Linked DNA regions of Xenopus tropicalis. The protein of the gene in region 4 interacts with the protein of the main gene of each other region in a biochemical or structural test. Links are inferred from orthologs where the notes say so. Each region holds a gene or a part of one and is shown on either strand. Other genes may lie near its edges. The genes, in order: akt1, ccne1, cdkn1a, skp2, cdc34 and ccna2.

What was found.
Region 1: of the proteins of skp2 (region 4) and akt1, one has a biochemical effect on the other in vitro, tested with the Homo sapiens proteins (4 studies listed by BioGRID, with this or other methods). The link is inferred for Xenopus tropicalis from reciprocal best matches to the Homo sapiens genes SKP2 and AKT1.
Region 2: the proteins of skp2 (region 4) and ccne1 form a complex in vitro, tested with the Homo sapiens proteins (2 studies listed by BioGRID, with this or other methods). The link is inferred for Xenopus tropicalis from reciprocal best matches to the Homo sapiens genes SKP2 and CCNE1.
Region 3: of the proteins of skp2 (region 4) and cdkn1a, one has a biochemical effect on the other in vitro, tested with the Homo sapiens proteins (3 studies listed by BioGRID). The link is inferred for Xenopus tropicalis from reciprocal best matches to the Homo sapiens genes SKP2 and CDKN1A.
Region 5: the proteins of skp2 (region 4) and cdc34 form a complex in vitro, tested with the Homo sapiens proteins (3 studies listed by BioGRID, with this or other methods). The link is inferred for Xenopus tropicalis from reciprocal best matches to the Homo sapiens genes SKP2 and CDC34.
Region 6: the proteins of skp2 (region 4) and ccna2 are reported together in a solved structure, tested with the Homo sapiens proteins (2 studies listed by BioGRID, with this or other methods). The link is inferred for Xenopus tropicalis from reciprocal best matches to the Homo sapiens genes SKP2 and CCNA2.

The regions. Positions count from the first base shown.
Region 1 is NC_030684.2:99,690,021-99,693,520, forward strand, and holds part of akt1 (RAC-alpha serine/threonine-protein kinase), read right to left. Parts: intron 3,270-3,500; coding exon 3,119-3,269; intron 2,815-3,118; coding exon 2,683-2,814; intron 2,313-2,682; coding exon 2,247-2,312; intron 1,323-2,246; coding exon 1,254-1,322; intron 1-1,253. UniProt on the Homo sapiens protein: AKT1 is one of 3 closely related serine/threonine-protein kinases (AKT1, AKT2 and AKT3) called the AKT kinase, and which regulate many processes including metabolism, proliferation, cell survival, growth and angiogenesis.
Region 2 is NC_030680.2:71,329,770-71,333,254, reverse strand, and holds part of ccne1 (G1/S-specific cyclin-E1), read left to right. Parts: intron 1-4; coding exon 5-140; intron 141-1,647; coding exon 1,648-1,794; intron 1,795-1,876; coding exon 1,877-1,972; intron 1,973-3,485. UniProt on the Homo sapiens protein: Essential for the control of the cell cycle at the G1/S (start) transition.
Region 3 is NC_030678.2:54,653,604-54,657,103, forward strand, and holds part of cdkn1a (cyclin-dependent kinase inhibitor 1), read right to left. Parts: intron 1,904-3,500; coding exon 1,535-1,903; intron 885-1,534; coding exon 832-884; 3' UTR 1-831. UniProt on the Homo sapiens protein: Plays an important role in controlling cell cycle progression and DNA damage-induced G2 arrest. Involved in p53/TP53 mediated inhibition of cellular proliferation in response to DNA damage.
Region 4 is NC_030677.2:198,011,720-198,015,219, reverse strand, and holds part of skp2 (S-phase kinase-associated protein 2), read right to left. Parts: intron 3,068-3,500; coding exon 2,940-3,067; intron 1,871-2,939; coding exon 1,819-1,870; intron 1,244-1,818; coding exon 1,136-1,243; intron 924-1,135; coding exon 710-923; 3' UTR 1-709. UniProt on the Homo sapiens protein: Substrate recognition component of a SCF (SKP1-CUL1-F-box protein) E3 ubiquitin-protein ligase complex which mediates the ubiquitination and subsequent proteasomal degradation of target proteins involved in cell cycle progression, signal transduction and transcription.
Region 5 is NC_030677.2:105,629,684-105,633,652, reverse strand, and holds the start of cdc34 (ubiquitin-conjugating enzyme E2 R1), read right to left. Parts: upstream 2,801-3,969; 5' UTR 2,644-2,800; coding exon 2,461-2,643; intron 68-2,460; coding exon 1-67. UniProt on the Homo sapiens protein: E2 ubiquitin-conjugating enzyme that accepts ubiquitin from an E1 ubiquitin-activating protein, and catalyzes its covalent attachment to other proteins by an E3 ubiquitin-protein ligase complex. In vitro catalyzes 'Lys-48'-linked polyubiquitination.
Region 6 is NC_030677.2:66,833,913-66,838,142, reverse strand, and holds the start of ccna2 (cyclin-A2), read right to left. Parts: upstream 2,801-4,230; 5' UTR 2,718-2,800; coding exon 2,559-2,717; intron 776-2,558; coding exon 526-775; intron 389-525; coding exon 282-388; intron 1-281. UniProt on the Homo sapiens protein: Cyclin which controls both the G1/S and the G2/M transition phases of the cell cycle. Functions through the formation of specific serine/threonine protein kinase holoenzyme complexes with the cyclin-dependent protein kinases CDK1 or CDK2.

The DNA.
Region 1 (3,500 bases), on a different chromosome or scaffold from region 4:
GTTTTAAAGTAATTAAAATATAATGTGCTGTTGCTCTGCAAAAAACTGGTGTTTTTGCTACAGAAAAGCTACTATATAAATAAGCTGCTGTGTAGCCATGGGGGCAGCCATTCAAGCTGGAAAAAAGGCACAGTTTACATAGCAGATAACTAGTAGATAAGCCCCATATAATGGGGGTTTATCTGTTATCTGCTAAGTAACCTGTGCCTTTTCTCCTTTGAATGGCTGCCCCCATGGCTACACAGCAGCTTACTTATATAAACTATAGTAGTCTTTCTGAGGCAAACACACCAGTTGTAGCAATGGAGGGCAACAGTACATTATATTGCTATTACTTGTATACACTTTATTTTTTTGGTGTTACTGTTCCTTTAAGTTGCCAACATTCCCTCACAAGGAAACTTTGGCCAATTTCAGTAAACCTATGCAACGCATATGCCTTTCCACTGGTGATTTACTGGGGCCAAACGATCGAATTATAACGACTGGAATAGGTGCAGTCGGTTCAGGGCAACACGGAGCAGTTTCTTGGCCTGTGTATAAGCACAGGCCGATAAACTATCCCTCCTCTCCGATCTGATCTATGGGGTGTCTGCACCCAGAGACACTGCCTCGCCTGGGTACAGACACACAGAGCTGATCTGGGTGCAGTGTCTCTAGTTGCAGACAAACCATAGCGCAGATAGGGGTGAAGGGGCAGTTTCTTAGTCTGTACCATAAAAATATGAAGAAATAAAGGAGGGGGAGAAAAAGACAGCACTGCAGTTTTATAGCAGTGGATTAAATACATGTACAACATGATTATTGATTGGCTTTCTGTTTTATAGCACCGGCAGGATGGTGGTTAATAATATACAATATAATAATAATATAATAACACATTTATATTACTGTCAAATCTATGGCACATAGGGGGTGAACTTCATGCTGATGTAATGAAAATACCCGCTCCCCTCTGTGAGTCACTTACCATCAACATCAATATGAAGCATAGCCCTGCTTGAGTAAACATTACCCAAAAATGTTCGCCATTATGGTTTCTGGCGATAACTGCAGCTCTGAGCTGATCTGCTGCACTTCCCAGTACAAAACCCCTTGGCGGCTTTGTGCACCAAAACTGACCTTCTTTTGCCTCATATGAAAAATGGCCCAGTATCAGCACATATCAGACGATTCCCCCAATGCACCAACTTCAGTGCAGAGTAGGAAATAATAGAAATGGCAATAGAAAGATAGATTTACTCAGTACTAACCTCTCCTCCATTGGCATACTCCATGACAAAACATAAGCGATCATGTGTCTGAAAGGAATATTTCAGTGCCTACAAGAAATTAAAGTTGAGTAACCAACCGTCTTCTGAACTTTATAAATTGGTGCCAAATTAAACAAACTGACCCTGCAAAAGCTGCACTACGCAAGCCCAACACCCATCATACCCATGAGATATCACAGAGGGGAAAGCCTCAGGGTCAGCCATTAAAGGAACAATAAATTCAGAGGAACGGACTGAAAACATTAAAATATAATACATATTTACTATATTGCCACAGCAATAGCAGCAAGTTAAATGTAGGATGCTGTTTTAAAAATTATGGATAATCTGTTACAGCTTCCATACTGGTTTCTCCATAGGCCAGAAAAACAAATTATTAGTAAACAGCATTCATTTTTATGTCTACAAGGACTGCAGTTGTTGTGGCTGCAGTCGAAAGGTAAAAATCTTACTTGCTTACCTTTTAACTTTAATCGCTTACCTTTTACCCCGGGCTGGTGCTCCTATTAGGAGAAGCCACATAAGCCCAGGGAAGCTGCAGCAAGTGTTTCCTCTTACTTCTTTCTTCTGAATCCTGGGGCCGGCGCAAAGACAGAAGAAGGAAGGAAACACTCCTTCTTCTCACAGGAGCACTAGCCCAGGGTAAAAGGTAAGCAATTAAAGTCTCTGGGGGTGGCTTACATTTTGGCACCCCCCAGTGACTTAGTCTTTCCTTCTCCTTTAAAAGCTGCTGTGTAGCTATGGGGGCAACCATTCAAGTTGAAATTGGGCTATAGGCTATATAGTAGTTAACAAATGAGCTCAATTAAATACAATGGTTCTAGTTCTTATCCAGGGCTATCAAATAGCCATAAAACACACCCATAATTATGGTGGTATCTTATGAAACCAACTTACAAGATATTTACATACATTTTCCATGGTAACTTTATTATTAATGCAAAAAACACAATGTTTCTATTTAAAACTTACTGTTAGGAAGGGATGCCTAGAATTCTGCAGGACGCGGTTTTCTGTTAGCGTGTGAGCTACTTCATCCTGAAAAAAAGAAACATTTAAGGTACAGAATACTCATTCTAGAGCAGATTTCACCAAGCTGCTGACTGGTGGACTGGAATTTATCAATTCATTAGGCAAGCAGCCACTCTTATATAACAAGTGTGTTTTATCTTCATAAAATAATATATCCATGTTGCTTCAATTTAGTGGTGTCCTGCTACTGAATTTGCCATGGACACTGCATACCTCAAACATTTTTTTTTATTTAAAAATAAATAAATAAATGAATGAAAGATCAAAGACAAGCACTGTCTCGAGGAATGAGAATAAGAGCTGATACAAGAAAGTGAATGCTATAACCATTCCGGGGAGAGAGAGGGAATTCCTGGAGAAATTCCGGGTCACTTACCTTTGCAACAATAACTTCTTTTTTTAAAATTTTCATAGCGTAATATCTTCCTGTTGCTTTCTCTTTGACTAAAATAACTTTCCCAAATGTTCCTTTCCCCAAAAGCTTGAGATACTCAAATTCATTCATTGTCTGTTGAGATTAAATAAATGTATTTGTAATTCAACACTCTGTTAAATGGTACCAATTCAGATAAAGCAAGGCCAATTTACTGATCTAATAACATAATATAACCATCAGTTTTATAGCTGTATGACATCCTTGCATACAATATTAGTCACATTTGGATAGGGAATTCTGTGCTTGGTGGGGCCACTGAAAGACAGCGGAGTTACTAGGATAACTTGTCTGGCTCCATTGTTGATAAATATAGTGCCATTTAATAAAAAAGCCCTTACTTACAAACCTGTACATTTTACATTAAAATGACACTTACTACTTTATGTTTTGGTTTCGAATGAGAAACTTCCATTTCCTCGGCTCCAGAGTTATCGCTTGGGGAGTCGCCAGACCGAACCTCCATCATTTCTTCTTCCTGTTTCTTAAGGTTGTCGGCTACATGTTGTATAACCTGAATCCATTCTTCCCTTCAATGAAACAATGAAAAAATACACATGCATTGCTGGAGAAGTGTGAGTAGAGTGGGGCTTATTGACCAACATATGGACAGTAACACCGTTGTTTACCTTTACCTTGACAGCTGCAGGTAGAATAATTAAAGTAAAATACTGAATAGTTGGCATAGGTCACTTCCCCATGTTGGTAAATAAGCCAGTGAGTCTGATGTGATGTTCAAGGAAGGAGAACTCATACTTTGA
Region 2 (3,485 bases), on a different chromosome or scaffold from region 4:
GCAGATGGGCGAATCAAGATGATGTCTGGAGAAACATGTTGAACAAAGACCGAACTTACCTGAGGGACAAGAATTTTTTTCAAAAACACCCTCAGTTGCAACCTAATATGAGGGCTATTCTCCTTGATTGGCTTATGGAAGTGAGTACTGTTTTTTCCTTTTTCCCTTTTTTTAACTAGCCTTCAAAACTCTACCTTACTTGAAAAAGTCACCTTCAATAGTTTAAGCAAGACCATTGATTTAAATGGCGCTGCTTATTGGAGTAGAGTGCAAAGGTCCTGCAGTGACAATGTGATAAGACCTTGTAAGGTGGTGAGAATTTCTGAATATTCCTCTTCCTCTAATCATGAAAGCTGGAGTGGAGATCTTGATTGATTCCAGAATGATCTGCTTGGGATTGTATTTTAGATTAGTCTAGTTGATATAATACACCAAAGATTATGTAATATGGGGTACAACACTTGCTACACCTAATCACCTATAGCAGTCAATCAGTAGGTAGCATCAACTGGTCACCTGTTTAAAAGCAAACCTCTTGTTTGCTATGGGTTACTGCTCCATGGCAAACTTTGCCAGTTAAAAAATATGCACAGTTATACACAATCACTGCACATACGCAAAACCCAGCCAAAGAATACCAACCAAACAGTTCTTTCACAGCAGTACTGTTTAGCTGGTATTCTTGGATAAGAGGGTTTAGCATATGTACAGTGATTGTGTATAACTGTGCATTTCAAAATTTTAAATCCATTCCTAAATAACTGGAGCTTGCTGGCAAGACTAAAAATTGAGTGAAATAAAATGAAGGGCGGCTTCAAAGTCACAGCAGGATGAATGACCCAAACAATACCCTACAGCAGGGGTCCCCAACATTTCTTACTCATGAGCCACAGTCAAATGTAAAAAGACTTGGAGAGCAACACAAGCATCATAAAAGTTGCCAAATAAGGGCTAAGATTGGCTATTGGGTAGCCTCTATGCACACTATCAGCCTACAGGAGGCTTTATTTGGTAGTAAATCTTTTTTTTTTTTTTTTTTTTTTTTTTTTTTTTATTCAACCAAAACTTGCCACCAAATCAGGAATTCAAAAATAACTACCTGGTTTGGGGGTACTGAGAGGCACTGATGACTGCCCCTACAGCTTGAACTGGTAAATTTTGAGATGGTCTCTGCAGGTGGAGGTTTTCCTTCAAGGAAAAGATGTCATAGGTTATCTTTTTGCCACGGCATTACTTTCTTTGAAAAAAACACACCCTGGAGAGCTGGCAAGGGAAGAGGTACTAGATACACCAGTAGTCTTTTTGGAAGCACTTCCTTAACTTAATAGTGCCATTTTTTTTTCTGGTAGTGCTACCTCTAGAGGCATATGGCCACATCATACAGTACCAAAATTAGACACAAATGAGGTAAAAGCACTTAATACTGTGAAGTGTTCAATTAGGAATTGTCTGGCTGAAATATTAATCTTCAGTGTAAAGTTTTGCAGTCATTTCTGAATAAGCCTTATAATGTAAATTTATACTCCCACAAGCACTTGCAGGACTTGCACATTTTTTTTATTTCATATACTCTGGCATTTTTAAATTTAAAAGCAAGTGCAGCTGTTTTGCATATATAAAATATTAATTGTATTCTCCCCCCCTCAGGTTTGTGAAGTGTACAAACTTCACAGAGAAACATTTTACCTAGGACAAGATTTCTTTGATCGGTTTATGGCAACTCAAAAAAATGTAATTAAAAGTAGACTGCAACTTATTGGAATCACATCTTTGTTCATTGCTGCTAAGCTGGAGGTTGGTAAAGTTTTTTACTTTCTTTTTGGGTAGAGCTATAATGGTCAACTTACCATAAAGTGAGTTCTTTACTTTATTGCAGGAAATATACCCTCCAAAGCTGCATCAGTTTGCATTTATCACAGATGGCGCCTGTACAGAAGATGAGATTACAAGTATGGAGCTGATAATAATGAAGGTAAAGCCTTATGGGTTTTAGGAATAATACATTGCTCAAAAAAAATAAAGGGAACACAAAAAGAAGACATCCTAGATCTGAATGAATGAAATATTTTTATTAAATACTTCACTCTTTACATAGTTGAATGTGCTGACAATAAAATCGCACATATATTATCAATGGAAATCAAATTTATCAACCCATGGAGGTCTGGATTTGGAGTCACACTCAAAAGTGGAAAAAAAACACTATAGGCTGATTCAACTGTGATGTAATATCCTTAAAACAAGTCAAAATGAGGCTCAGTAGTGTGTGTGGCCACGTGCCTGTATGACCTCCCTACAATGCCTCGGCATGCACCCACACAAATGACTCGGGTAGTGCAGCTCATCCAGGATGGCACATCAATGCGAGCTGTGGCAAGAAGGTTTGCTGTGTTTGTCAACGTAGTGTCCAGAGCATGGAGGCGCTACCAGGAGACAGGCCAGTACATCAGGAGACGTGGAGGAGGCCGTAGGAGGGCAACAACCCAGCAGCAGGACCGCTACCTCCGACTTTGTGCAAGGAGGAACAGGAGGAGCACTGCCAGAGCCCTGCAAAATTACCTCCAGCGGGTCACAAATGTACATGCTTAAATGGTCAGAAACCGACTTCATGTGGGTGGTATGAGGACCCGACTTCCACAGGTGGGGGTTGGGCTTACAGCCTTAACACCGTGCAGGACCTTTAGCATTTGCTATAGAACACCAAGATTGGCAAATGCGCCACTGGGGCCCTGTGCTCTTCACAGATGAAAGCAGGTTCACACTGAGCACATGTGATAGATGTGACAGAGTCTGGAGATGCCGTGGAGAATGTTCTGCTGCCTGCAACATCATCAGCATGACCGGTTTGGCAGTGAGTCAGTAATGATGTGGGGTGGCATTTCTTTGGGGGGCTGCACAGCCCTCCATGTGCTTGCCAGAGGTAGCCTGACTGCCATTAGGTACCGAGATGAGATCCTTAGACCCCTTGTGAGACCATAAGCTGGTGCGGTTGGCCCTGGGTTCCTCCTAATGCAAGACAAGAAACTAGACTGGAAGACTAGACCTCATGTGGCTGGAGTTTGTCAGCAGTTCCTGCAAGACGAGGCATTGATGCTATGGACTGGCCCGCCCGTTCCCCAGACCTGAATCCAATTAAGCACATCTGGGACATCATGTTTCGCTCCATCCACCAACGCCACTTTGCACCACAGACTGTCCGGGAGTTGGCGGATGCTTTAGTCCAGGTCTGGGAGGAGATCCCTCAGGAGACCATCCGCCACCTCACCAGGAGCATGCCCAGGCATTGGAGGGAGGTTATATAGGCACGTGGAGGCCACACACACTACTGAGCCTCATTTTGACTTGTTTTAAAGACATTACATCAAAGTTGAATCAGTAGTCTGTAGTGTTTTTTTCCACTTTAATTTTGAGTGTGACTCCAAATACCTCCATGGGTTGATAAATTTGATTTCCATTGATCATTTTTGTGTGATTTTGTTGTCAGC
Region 3 (3,500 bases), on a different chromosome or scaffold from region 4:
AACTCTGTAAGTGCAAGAAAAACATTTAACAACTGGACGTGAAAATGATGTCCACCCACCCTCCAGGTGGTAGTATTTTAAAGATATCAGTGTTAGCACAGTTAAGCTGGCTTTACATGCCCAGATATATTATTCTGACATATTGATCTGTTCATCTGCTGATGCAATATGCATCAATAGATGAAGGAGTAAAGAAAATTTGTAGCTCCTCTTCACTTCCTGCTATTTCAATTGTTTAATTAAACAAATGGAACACTAGTATGGCAGCCATACATGTAAATGGCCACTCATATGGTAGCCGCCAATTCAGCCAGAGGGCTGATTGGTAGGATACTGAAGAGTATTATCCAGTGTATGGTCCCCTTTAAAAAGCCCCAAGGTATGATGCTGAGTGCTAAAGCAAAGTGGCCTGCACACATGGACTAACATTTTAGTGCATTACTGAATATTGCTCTGAATCTTGTCAAAATCTGTTGCAAACTTCTAAATATTAGCCATTTTCATTAACTTAGTATCATTTATATACATATATCTATAAAACCGCAGTGTTTTACTATTTAGAATTACAAAAAAAGTATTTTGCAACAACTAGAAACTCAGCAAACATACACCACTAAAGCTAATGCTTATCTCTTCTTCCGGTTGTTTAAATTATTAAAGTAATAGTGAGGTACAATCTGTGAGGATTTTGAAGTTCTCTGGAGTCTATGTAATGTCCATTAAAGTCCAGGTTTTGTATAAGAGCATGAAAATCCAGCGTTCTGACACCTTAAACTGAGAAATGAAAATTTGTTCAGGTCCAAAGAAAGGACCTCACAAACAGCATAGTGATCAATCGCGGGGGCTGGGTTTAGGTGAACATCTCCGCTTGACAGGATAAAAATCTGTTAAGGCAAAAACAGAAGCAGAGATTAAATATTAATAATGGTTGCTAAGTATAATAATGGGTGCTAAGAATACTTGCAATACTTGATGTCAAGTCATGCAAAAACCAGTTAATGAAAGAATGCAGCATATACATTGGAGCAGCACTAATGATGCAATGAGTGTATATCCTATAAAGCAGGGGCCCCTAACCTTTTTTTACCTGTGAGCAGCATTTAAATATAAAAAAGTAGGGATGTGGTAGGTTATTTGGTAGCCCAATGTGGACTGGCAAGCTACAGGCTCTGTTTGGCAGTACACATGCCGCCATGTGTAATAAAATGTGCTAAGTTTGCCCAGTAGCAGTTACCCCAAGCAACCAATATGTTTTCTTTTAAATAGGTAACCAGTTAATTCTACCTGCTAATTGGTTGCTATGGGTCTTTTATCATATAACCCCAATAGTGTTTTAAACTGGAAGATGGAAAAAGTCAGAAGTCTCTCTTCTAAGTTAGAAATTCAAAAATGAGCACCTGTTTGAGACCACTGGGAGCAATATAAAAGGGGTTGGTTAACATGCTTGTGAGCTACTGGTTTGAGATCACTGCTACAGAGCATACTCTCTGATAATATTTATATTCTAACTGCTATGTGGAACTGTTACAATTACCTGTGATCAGCTTTTGTTTCCTTTTGCCTGAATCGCTGCTTTCACAATTCTGGGAAGCTTTATGGGATTGGTTAATGTTACACATCTCTGCGGCTACATCTTGGCACTGGTTTTCTTTTTCACTTTCCTGCGAATTGCAATTCAAGGTTTTGTCTTCTACCTTCTCCCAATCATATTGCCCTTCAAGAGGAGTTTCAGTGACAAAGTCAAAGTTCCATTTAGCTTTTGCTTCCTCGTTGGATCTCTGCATAAGTTCATGAAATTCAGTTTTTAGCTGTTCATGGTCCACAGCTTCAAAAAGCATTCGACAAGCCTTTTCCTTATTTCCAGATGCTTGCTTGAGGATGGCTATGGCTGACTGCATTTTCTCTGAAAGGGCAGAAAAACAATTGTTGCAACATTAAAAATACAGTAAATATTGTTCCCTTCAGTCAACATCAATCAGTCTGTCTGTATATACTGTATTGCTCTTAGCGCTTAGCCAGCTTGTGCAGCAATAATGCAACTAATAAAACACACACAAGTGCACAGAAACCACATAGAATTATTCCTAAATCTATCGTATTGGAAGCTGCCACATTGGTTGCTGTGCTGCAATATTCTTGGCTTTTAATCAGTTACATTTTAACAATAAACCTCTCAAACATGGGGATACCAGAAGAAAATGAAGAAAATGTTTAAGGGCTCTGAATGGTGGGCCCGCTATATCATGTTCTCTGGTGGGCCATTGGTGTCCTAGTTCTACGCATTATCATTATTCAGTCATAAAATACATGGCCACACCCTATTCTGGGCATTTGAAGTCAGAAGGAGTGTAAGATAAACAACATGCCCTGTCAGTGTGATGCCCATAATGATGCAACTGCAACTTGAATCCCTATGGTAAGAGGTACAAGTTTTGCATTGGTATTCTTGCATCACGTGTGCTTAGTGGCAGCCACAACACCGATAAGAGGTAAATACTTTTGCATTGTAGAGGCAAAATTATACAAGTTTTCCATCATTTACATTTAGCCTTATTTGTAATTAAGGTACTCATTAGCCAAATAACTGAGAACTGTGAACACTGTACACTATTATATAGCATTAATGAAAGAATAGTGTTACTGAATAGCCCTACTTGATAAACGCCATATTGAATAAAGGCTTCAGGAGCAGGTCTGATAATGACAACAACACACATAAATGGAAAAATTGTAAGTTATTTATTATTTCTTGTGGAACAGAGATTTTTCCCTGATGCATAAAGAATGATGGGTCAGATTCACATTTATGAGAAAAGCTTATCTCCTAAATCAATTTCAGATGCAATTCAATAAGAAAAATGTATTGCACTGTTTATTACATGAAAACTGAATTAGGAGAAAATGGGCCCGATTCACTAAAGTCCGAAATAAGGAGTGCTATTTATAGCATGCGTTAAAAATCTTATCACTTCTTATTTTTCGCTCGATTCACTAAAAGGACACTTGTCATAATTAAGAAGCGATGTTCTTGGCGTTATTTATCTTGCGACAACATATTTTCAAGCAATATATTACGCAGCGCACAACATATTACGCAGCACGCTATATTTTACGCAGAGCGCAAAATTTTCAGAACGGTAGTCTTCAGAAAGTAATGGTTACGTGGGTAATATATTGCGCTCTGCGTAAAATATCGCACGCTGCGTAATATGTTGTGCGCTGCGTAATATATTGCTTGAAAATATGTCGTCGCAAGATAAATAACGCCAAGAACATCGCTTCTTAATTATGACAAGTGTCCTTTTAGTGAATCGAGCGAAAAATAAGAAGTGATAAGATTTTTAACGCATGCTATATATAGCACTCCTTATTTCGGACTTTAGTGAATCGGGCCCAATGTTTCTAGCCTCAAATTTAATCTCGTCCATATATTCTTGTTGATTGGAATTTGGCCCTATATATTACTATAGAGAGCAATTCATTTAAGATATAAGACGGAT
Region 4 (3,500 bases):
AAAGTTGCTAGGAACTGGACATTCTATAACATACTAAAAGTTAATTTAAAGGTAAAGCACCCATTTAATGTGTGTTGTACCTAGCAGTGATACCAAGTGAGCACAAATGGCAAACCCAAATCCCCACCACCGGTGCTGGTCCCACTGCTGTATTCCGCTTGCTGCAGATTGGTGGGAAAGTCATTTGATGCAAGAATAAAGGTGCCCCCATGTAGAACAGGCCAGCTAGAGGAATTCTGGGAGTTTAACAACTGATCGTTATAGAACAACATAAATATACACATTAACTGTGTTGCACAGAAGTTCTAGTCCAGTGAACGGTATTATTTAGGACTCGCTGTTGTGGAACTACGACTCCCATTATCCCGTCACATAACCACATCAGTACCATATCAATGGCAGTCAGTAATGGCAGCTTATTGGTTTATATTGACCATCTTCCTATCCTTCATCCCGTAACAAATCAGAATCCTGTAGGAATGTATAAGGAGCCGGCTGTGGCTTTAGAGGAGCCAGGTGTATTCTACACTGATTCAAACCAGTGGGAGGCAACATGCAGCTTGTTCTCCCCCAGGTTCCTTTTCTCACCTTCAGTACAAAATACCCAAAAGACAAAAAAAAAAAAAAAATCGAATAAAAAAAGTGATGGGTATTAAAAAAAAAAGTTCAAGTTTCTTGGTTTTGTCCTAGTGCAGAGATCCCCCCCCCATCACAAGTAGTCTTTATAGTTCAACGTGAGCTTGCATTTCATGCCCCACATTTCCCGGCTCTTTCGGATCCCTGTAGTGGGCCGGCCGATGGTACTGAAGTAGGAGCAGTTTATCTTTATGTGTGGGAGGGATTCCTTCAGGATCTGCATGGAGCCTTCTGACACGATGCCAAATACACTGAGGCTCTTTAGAGGGATCTTCTTTCCAAGCTCCCTGGGGCAAAACATAACCAAGAGTAAATCTGGAGTATTAGGACATAAAATGGGTTATGGGGATTCAGAGAGACAATCTAAAAAACAATGGATTGAGATGGAGAAATGAAACTGCAGAGGGCATCACCAATACCAGTAATACAGTAGCACACACTACAATGGAGTAATGCTTTAGTAGGGGACTAAAGAGAAGAGGGAATAGAGAGTACTTACAGCAGAGCAGCCGGGCAGATCTGGTAACAGCGACTCAGCCCAAGGTGCTGGAGATGGAGAAGCTGCTGCAAAACTGCAAAGCAGTCGGCGGTCAGCATCACGCTGTCACTGTATGAAGGAGAAAATATAATTAGATCCAGTTCTTAGGTACAGGCTTTGTGCTCATCTCTCACTATATTATCTGTTCATGTAACCCACACACCTCTCGGACCAGAATGGCTTAAATGGGACCTTATTCATCATGGCAGTCTGAACAGATATGTACAGAGGTAATTATATAGAAGCACGGACATTGCTCCACTGTAGTCTTAAAACATGCAGGATCTGGGCAAATTAGACCTTGTTTGCCATATGTCACAAAATGTATTTATCTTTTTAACAGTAGCATGTCACTATGCCTATTTAAACCCTAGAGCCACTAGAGCTAGGCACAGTGACATGTTCCTGGTAAAACCTGTAATGTTTCACTATCCCTTTAATGCATAAGAGTGCAATGTATTAGTGCACAGCACAGCTCTCCATGTTTGTTCACAAGTGATAGCTTCCTATATTGATATCCAAAATGATAACTGTGACAAAAATACATTTCAACTGCCACTAGGGCTGCAGACTGGTACATTTAAGTATAAGCTTGGTGGGTTCAGAGATAGAAGATATATATTTGTTGTAAAACAGCACATTACCTTAAATCCAAGTCTGTCAAGTCAGGACATTGGGCCACGAGCGTCTTCACATCTAGAAGTAAAGGAGATATACGTTATGTGCTGTGTGTACTGACGTGGGGGTGCGGCTACAAAATGCACAATTACAGATGCACAAAGAGTTAACACCTGGTGCAACATGTGAATGGGACCAGTAGCACTCCCCAAGGCATTTAAGGGCAACTAATAACCAGAAATTAAAATCTCCAGTGAGATTAAATCTTGTCGCTGCTGCACAAGGGCCAATGCCAAATATCTTACAAAGCTGCTCCTTCATTTTGTGGAAATGGGGCCGGCCAAAGAATGAGTAGCTACAGTATCATGTGGCTGATGTACTTGTGAGTAAGAACAGCAGCCCTATAGCCAAACCTACTGGTGCAGACTACAAATTATTTTGTAAGGAAGGAAAATTCCTTGGAGGACTGCAAGCAGCAGTGAGACTTCAGCTGGACCTCCCTATAGGGTAGCGCGGCCCTTACTCTCTTGCCCTTACTCTCTTGCTGGGAGCAATATGGCACTGATAGAGCCAAAGTCAGCCTGTCTGAGGGCGGCCCATAAGACTCAGAACAAATAGCATAGGGTCACACAGAGCACGTGGCAGTTTACAGGGGTTAATGAGCCAGTCTGATTAAGAACATATTTGCCACCTTATTGTGGCAGTCGTGTAGGAGGGCAACCTACACCCCCCAACAACAATTTATATCAGAGAACCTACTGGGAGCCAAAATTAGATGTTTAAAAAAGGGAAAGCATAAAAATGTTTGCGGAAGAATTGTAGCGTTGTGACAGTTACAGAAGACAAATGGCATAAGCAAAAATCCCCCTGTAGGCAATGATGAACCATGCAGGTCGGCTCTCACTCTGGGCTAAAGATGATAATGAACTTTAAAAATGGCCCCTTTATTCTCCCAAGGATCCACTATTGTTCCTGTCCATGTTGTAGCTAAGGGGTGGGTGTGTCCTAACAGCCCCTGCCAGTAGCACAGTCGGAGGGGCCAATCACAGGAACCTTATATAGTGTGGGGCTATCATGTCAGTGCCTAGTTCTGCCTGCTGTTCTTACATTACACCTGCGCATAAAGATACCAATACGTAGTGCGTACCAGAGAGTTCCAGGTTCTGCCGGTAGCCACTGAAATTTAACTGCGTTAGGCTGCTGGGCAGGTGACTGACGGCGCTCTTTACGTGCTCTGCCTCAAAGTCGCACCACGACAGGTTCAGTTCATCCAACCTGCAACACAGACAACACAACTGAGAAGCTTACCCACAGGTAAATAACATGTCCCCCACATCCCAGGCCAGCAGATCGCCATGTCATACACATGCTTAGAACATACAGCTTATACAGATGATGTCATATCCTAGAGGTGGGGCTATAACACACACTTTGATTCAGAGGTACTGCCTTGCGGAAGCCAAGGGTTAAACGAAAACTATACCCCCCCCGCCCCCCAAACAATGTAGGTCTCTATAAAAATATATTGCATAAACAGCTCATATGTAAAACCTGCTTCATCTAAATAAACCACTTTCATAAAAATAGACTTTTTTAGTAGTATGTGCTATTGGGTAATCCTAAATAGAAAACTGCCATTTTAAGTACTAAGGGCCACCCCCTGGCATCATAGGATTCACAGCGCACACAAACAAGCCAAGGCACACAT
Region 5 (3,969 bases), about 92 Mb from region 4:
ACATCTTTGTCAAAAAACGAAACGCAGGAGGAGAGTAGGGGTAATCAACTGGAAATTTTAAGCGGGCCTAGGACAAAAAGAACATGTAATGGTTAACAAGCAAGTGAGTATGGTTGAGATCCATGCCTTTGTTATAACACACCGTAGCTCCGATTAGCACAAAATAATGGTTCTCAAGCAACATATCTAAGAGTAGATCAACCAAATTTCAGTCTATTAAAAAAAAAAGTGTAATTTATTAATTTTTTACTTGTTTGCTCTCTTTCTGTAGTAACAATAAAACAGTATCTTGTGCTTTATGATAACTAAGCTAACATAAATCCATGTTTCTGGCTAAAAGATCATCTTGGTTTTTATTTTTAAATGCTTCAGCAGGCCATAAACGGGCCAATAAAAGCTGCTAGGTCAGTGCCTCCAGGCCAAATTAACAGCTTATTGGCTCGTGTATAGGGCCCGTCTGACCAATAGCTGATCAATTTTCAATACGGCAAGTTTGAAAATCCTATTGAATGAGGGTGCATTGGCACTCTGAATGTGGCTATCATGCAAGAGGCCCCAATAAAAGATTTGAATTATGTCCAAAAGCTTTCAGAATAATAGATCTCATACTTATAGAACTGCATGATGGGTAAGCAAGCTCAGCTGTCATCAGATTAATGATAAGTAAATAAAAAATAAGGTCTGTTTTCAGTTCCAGGGAGGCTGGATAATGAGATGCACCAATTCCAGAGTTTTATGATTCAAACCTTTGTAAAAGATTTGGCCTAATACCGAACCAAACTCTAATTTGCATTTGAAAACTAACCTATAAAAGGAATAAAAATGTTCAACTTCTGGGTTTACATAAAGAAATAGTGATTTTAAGGATTCAGATTTGGTTCAACCAGGCACATGGATTCGTCTGAATCCGAATCCTGTTGAAAAAGGCAGAATCTTGGCCAAACGCCGAAACAAATCCTGGATTCAGTGTATCCCTAATAATATGTATATTATACATATATTGAAAGTGGTGGTTCACCTTTGAGTTAACTTTTAGTATGTTATAGAAAGGCCAATTCTAAGCAACTTTTCAATTAGTCATTATGTTTTTCATAGTTTTTGAATTATTTACTCTTTGCAGCTTTCAAAGGGGGGTCACTGACCCCCAAGCCAAAGAACTATTGTTCTGCGAAGCTATAGTTTAACTGTTATTGTACATTACTTATGTTTCTATTCAGGCCCTCTCGTATTTATATATCAGTCTTTTATTCAAATCACACCATGGTGGCTTAGGTAATTTGGATCCAAGCAACCAAATAGCTGCTGAAACTCCAAGCTGGAGACAACCAAAAACTGAAATAATTAAAAAAAACTACAAATAAAAAATGAAAACCAGTTGCAAATTGTTTCAGAATATTACGCTCTACATCATACTAAAAATTAAGTAAAAGGTGGACAACCCCTTTAAAGGGGTTGTGCACCTTTGACTTAACTTTTTAGTATGATTTTTTTTTGGCTCAGGGGTCAGTGACCCCATTTGAAAGCTGCAAAGAGTTAGGACAAGGAGGCAAATAAATTAAGAAACTATGAAAAACAAATAATGAAGAATATTCGAAAAGTTGATTAGAATAGGTCTTTATATAAGATACTAAAAGTTAACTTAAAGGTGAACCACCCCTGTAAAACACAATTACATTGTTCTAGCCATTTAACATCTCATTATAAACCCCTATTAAATTTCTTGATCTGTGCAAATGTCTAGGAATAAGTAGTCCCTTGAAACTAATATTATATATATATATATATATATATATATATATATATATATATATATATACACACACACTATAGAAGGCACATCTTAACAAAACTGCCCAAAACTAAGTATAGAGACCCCTTTAATCCTTAAAAGAATGAGGCTTCATACATGTAGCTAGTATGGCATACTAAAATGTAAAAGAGTGGAACGCCTATGTTTGATTAATCTTCTGAAAATCTTTATGAAATAGGCACAGGATGAATACATATAAACCCAGGGTATCTCCACAAACACAAAGTGCCAAATCAGAAGTTAGATGAAGAGTTTAGAGCGTTTTCCTGTTACACAAAGGCCTTTATTGCTTTCTAACACCGTGCATCCTGTGGCTGGGGCCTAGCAGCTGTTGTTGGACTACAACTCGCAGAAAACAGGATTAAAGATTTAGTAGTGCCACACTCTTTCAGTAAGTTTTAGTTTTGGGGTAGCTTTGAGGGCTGGTTGAGTTTCATGTGAAACATTAGTTTCGGGCAAGTTACGGCTATGGCTGTAGGAGTCACATAAACAAAGGAAAGCTTGTTGTGCAGAAAGGCCCAGCGATGTACGCAATACCCACCCACGCCTCTATTACTTACTGCCTCTTTAAATACCCCCCAGCGTGGCTTTCCCTCCCCAAGGCCCCTATGATCACGAACTCCACCATTTCACACACACCTAACCCTCACCTTGAAGTACCCCCCCTCATAGAGGGTGTTTGGGGGGCCAAAGATTGCCACCTCCCAGTTGTACAGATCCCCCTCATCTACCAGGGTGACCCGGAACCCCTCCACCGGCTCTTCCTGTAGCCCCTTGAGTTCCAGCATCAAGGCCTTCTGAGAGCTGGGCACCGGCGCCACCGGCCGGGCCATGGTAGTTCCGCTCCCCGCTTTCTAACCAGGAGCCCACAGCGTCCTCCGCGTAGGGCAGGATGGGATCAGTAGGCTTTTGGTGTTTTAGCAAGAAGGGGCTGCTAGACGACTAAAGGCTTTATTACGACATGTTACGGCACAACGGAGCCGCTTTGCGAATTAACTTGCTGGCTGGAAGAGTAACGGGTGCCGGAAACTGCAAGTGAAGCCACGGCGTTGTGGGAGGAGCAGCCTACAAATCCCACAAGCCCACGAACACTGTGACGCACTGGTGCGAGGGAAGTGTAATCTGAGCGGAGGAAGGAGGGGTCTTGCTGAGGCTGATGGGAACAAAGCTAGATGTTGGTTTCTAGTGGGGAAACGTGATTTACAGAGCTTTTATTTAGTAGTGCAGTAGAAAACTTCAACTTGACACAAAGTTTCTGAATGAACAGTGAATATATCCTTTAATCTCCTAGAATATAACCTTCTAATACAGCTCACCTTAAAGGGCACCTATCACCCTCAAATTGTTTCCCTCATCAGAGGTTAGGGAAACAATAGCTTTTTGTGAAAAAAAAAAAAGCTCCTACCATTGCTAGGCTGCCTGCAGCAGAAGAGTGCTCCAGGTGTGGGCAGCCATATTGCCTCATTTCTCACAATGTGCATAATGAGTGAGTGCCACAAGTTGCTTATTATGTGCATGCTTGTGATGGAGGGTGAATTGCATCCACCACGCCTAGATCAGGCGCATGCGCATCATCTGCAAGTGGAAAGGCGCATTTATTATGCCCACGCATGGCAAACAACATGGTTGCCTGTACTGGGAGCTTCATTCAGGTGCGGGCAGCCTAGAAATGGCAGTTGCTGTATTTTTTAAAAACCAAACTATCGTTTTCCCTCAACCAAAGTGCTGCGTCTATTAGCCTGCACCTCTGGTGGGAGAAGCAGTTAAAGGGTCATAGGTGCACTTTAAAGGACAGGGAAACTTAGATTCAGTGGGTGGCAATTTATTGGGTGCCCCCAACACTTTCCATCAGGCCGGTGCTACACTTTGTAAAATGCCACTTCACTACTACTAGTTAAAGACTAGTTGCTTCCTACTCCATGTACGGTGTTGTAAACAGTAGCATAAGTAGAAGTTACTAGGCCCTGAAAAATCATTTTGGCACACCTTGAAATTAGAAATAATATCTTTCATATACATATAATGAAACTACTTATTATTCAGCAGGCTCCCAACAGTCACAGGGTGTGCTTGCTTTAAAGTTACATTCCTTGTTAAAGGAGATCTAAACCCTTAAAAATTAATATGGCAAGAAGTTGGGAAGTTTTTATATACTGGAC
Region 6 (4,230 bases), about 130 Mb from region 4:
TAAGGCAGATGACTAATGTAGTACATGCATTTGCAGTGCAAACTACTTACAGCTGCTGTCAATGGAAAGCAGCCTTATGGCTTTATACAAACATCTAGGTTGTTAGGTAGCACTAACTGCGATCTAAACGGTATGTATTTTTAACATTTGCTTGCAAATAACTTCCCTAAGCAAGCTGGAGCTTTGTTACACTAAGAAATGGAGAACATCAGTGCATGTGTTTAGCCTTATACTAGGGAAGAATGTTTCACTTGACAGATTTTACTAAGATATAAATTTACCTCCATTTCTCGCAGGTATGTGTGAATCTCTTTAGCATAATCAGGAACATTACTACAACCGACTACTTTTTGTTCTTCATCCACAAGCGACACATCCATAGGAGAACCTGGAGAGTCAGAACATACATGCTTTAGCATGTGCTGTAGCTGTGTGGGGGGGGGGCAGTAGGGTATTTAGCAAGTGACAAAACCCAATCCCAGTTGGCAACAGCAGCTGAGAACACAATGAGCAAAACCAACATACCAAAGCTAGTTTCCATTGCTATGTGGATAGGTTCCAATGGTTTTCTTGTTCCAATGGAACCCAGAACTGAATTGAGTTGTCGTAGATTTTCATCTTGAACGGTCTTTTTATGAACAGGCTTTCTTCTGTTATTTGTACAGTCTGGCTCATCCACATGGATTGTAAAAGTAGGCTGTTTGCTGGCTGCTTTTCCAGCCGGTACCTTGCCATAATTCTCATCATTTACGCCCAAGTGATTTACAGACAAAGCCTAAAATGAAAGTCAAACAAGTGATATTTTACAATATAATACCTTAAGAATGAGTGAAGAAAATTAATGTTCTGAAAGCATTAGCCTGCTGTACCACTACCTTGAAAAGTATTATAATTGCTACACCCCCCAGGGTGCCCTTATGTTATTCCTAAAAGATGCAGCAATGAGCAATTTTGCGCCGTAATGCAAATTAAGTATCAGTGATTCAGCATTTATAATGTTATTCAAAGGAAAGTTAGTAATTTTGCTGCCCAAGAGCGCAACATGGGGTGTTATTGTCCCAAGTCAAGAGCACCTGGCACCATACTTTGACTTCAACTGAAAGTACACCCTGGCATTTCAAGTACACTGACTTGACAGTCACCCACAAACCTAAGGGTGAAGATACATACAGCTACTAAAAGACAATGCAGATCATTTACGGATATTATCTGTACGTGTGTTTTAGGGTGAAGACACTGAGCTACTAGGAGGAGCAGCTACTTGTCATGGCAATTAAAACAGACCACGCTGATCATTTAGGGCAGTGGCACATGGGGAGCCATCCCACCAGCTAGAATGTAAATCGCCGATGGGATGGCATACGTGTTGTTGCAAAGTCTCAAAGTTCCCTCTCAAGACATTGCAGCGATGCGTATGCCATCCCACCAGCAATTTACATTCTAGCCGGTGGGATGGCATAACGGAGAGATTAGTCGCAATTCTCAATTTTGTCTGTGGCAGGGTATTTTACGACATTCAGTAGCCGTGCTACCAAGTAGCTCCGTGTGTCTTCATCCTAAGTATCAAGACACACCGAGGCAATAGAAGCTACTTTTTCTCAGCTACTACTGCTTTTACTGCATTAGAGACTTAATCTAATAATAAATCTCAAGTAACCTGCATGTGCCTGCTTAGCAAGTCCAGTGGAAGGTCTGAGGATCTGCACCATGCTGCAACTCAGCCCTAAAACAAAGAGTCAGTGGCAATGTGCATCACAGACTAAAGATCAGTAGGGCACGGCATATATTGCCATTAAATGGGACAAAGTGACCACATGGGCAAGGCACATAATAGGCTCAAGCCTCAGTCACCAGACAATAAGTACAATGCAAAGGGTGGGTGACATTACTAGGTTATAATCTCCCAAGGTCCCCCCTAATGTAAAAGACATGAGCAACAGACCGATAAAAATCAGGATAAATTTCTGAAAGCCTATACATGCAATACCATGAAAGCTTGTGGGGCAAATATGCCTGGTAACATGATTTGGGAAATGAAGGAAAGACAAGAATTTAATGGGCCCATGGTGACAAACAGCATGAAACCAAGGAATGGCTGACATTTCTGCCAGGGCACATGCCCACCAGTGGATCAGACACGGCACTAAGTGCATAATAGCAATCATTGGCCTGACATTATCTCCCGGACGCATGAGTCGGGCTCCGACCTTCAGGTCACGGTCCTTATACACTGCAGCGAAATGGCGGCCTAAACAGGTCAGGCCACGATCCTATAGTACTCAGCCCTCAGACAGGAAGGCAATGGGGAGCGAACAGGGATAGGCAGCTGAACTACAAACCCCAGACCCTGGAAGATGTTGGGAACTGTAGAAGATACACAGGAGAAGAGCCAGGCCACCGAGAGACTTACACAAGCGCGGAAGGGACTCTGGGATCAGTTACGATCTAGGGAATTGGCGGGACCGGATCTACAGGACAGGCAGCCTTTTAAATACACGTCCACGCTTCCCGGGTATATTAGCCATTGTGCCTGGTAGCCCTGGGCCCCATACTCATACCTGAGCCTGCTGGAGGGCCGGCTTGCTCGCTTTTAGGGTCTGTCGGCCTCTGTGGTTTTCCTGCAGCACCCCCAGCACGGTGCGCCCGCCCACGGGGGCAAGGGGTTTTCGGGGTTGAACATTCTCCTGATTCTCATCACGCAGCAGATGGTCGGCCATACCGCGGATACCGATCCAGAGGGAGGAAGAAAGCGGGGGAAGGACTGGCGCCGGTAGGAGAGTGCACGTTTGCACGTCCCCTGTCCTCCCTTGAGGGGTGTAAGTAAAAAAGGGTTGGTGACCGTGTGCCTACAGCAGCTCAGCTTAATGCCCCTTCCCGCTTATATGCCGGTAAACTATGCTAAACCGTCCCACTCCCGCCGCTTCTCAAAGCGCCTCTCTAGAAATCCCTTCAACTACAGCAGCTGCAGTCTTCTCAATTCAAGTAGCCCGCGACTATTGAAATCAGCCAATCACAGGGCAGCGCGGGGAGACGTCACTGATTGTACGGAAGCCGGGAAGAGAACGCGAGAAAAGAACGCGATCTACTCTTCTTAGTGACATCATTTCAGCAAGTCTTGTATTTTTTTCTTAATTAGTGTTAAAGCACCTGTGCCAACATATTTTTTTGTTTGTTTTAGACATATAATTTTTATATCTAGCTAATAATTTCTGATATATTGCAAGTTTTGAAGCCTCTGTGGAAGTCGTTATATGTGCCCTAATGTGGGCAGTTTTGTTGCAGTGCAGTAAATTGAAACAAGCAGTTAGCACAGGCAAGGTAGCCATACAGGAGCAGTTTTCAGCCTTGAGGCCACATGGGAACTTTAGCCAAGGGCTGATGGTACCTACTCCCAATGGTCACTCTAAGCACACTCATTTTGAGATCCCATAATAAATTTTTGTGCGCATAAAGATAATTGTGTGAAATCACATAATTTGGTACTTTAAAGCTCACATGGTTTTAAAAAGTGCATGCACAAAAAAGTTTTTTGTGCACACAGCCATGAAGAAATTAGAGGGAACATTGCCTACTGGTAACTTTATGCGACACATTTATTTTTCTAACCTTTTAGTGTGGATAATGTATTTTTGTTGTAGTACATCCCTCCCCTAAGGGCACAGTCGCATGTAGTGTATGGTCTGCTTCCTTTCACGCGTTTTGTCAGAGAGAAGCGGATCTGCTTCTATAGGCTACTGCCACAAGGGAGCAGGCAGACGTGGCGAATATTGGCTGTGAAATGCAAACTTTCACATTTGTTTGCTGGTATCCACCACGTCTGCCTGCACCTGGGCACAACAAAGCTTCAGGGTGCAGATAAGGTAGGTGTCTGATGCCAGCGGAGGGGCTGATTCTCGGTCTGCGTTTTTACGCAAGCCCCGTGTGGCACCAGCCTTATCCTTTGTGTAGCTCCACTTACAGGCACTGCATTAGCCTCAGTGCAGCTACACAGAGGAGTGATCAACCCAAAAATGCATGGGTACAGGAGCAAATCCACTCTCGACCTGCTTACCAAACAGAGGAGTGAAGCAGACCATATGCCACGTGTGACTGTGCCTGCTTTGATTAGACTCGCAGCGTTTTTCAACCGCTGTTCCGCGGCACACTAGTGTGCTGCGAGATGTTGACTGGTGTGCCGTAGGCAGGGCCGCAATTTTTACTTTCAAAGGGGGCCCGGCGATGCTACAGTTT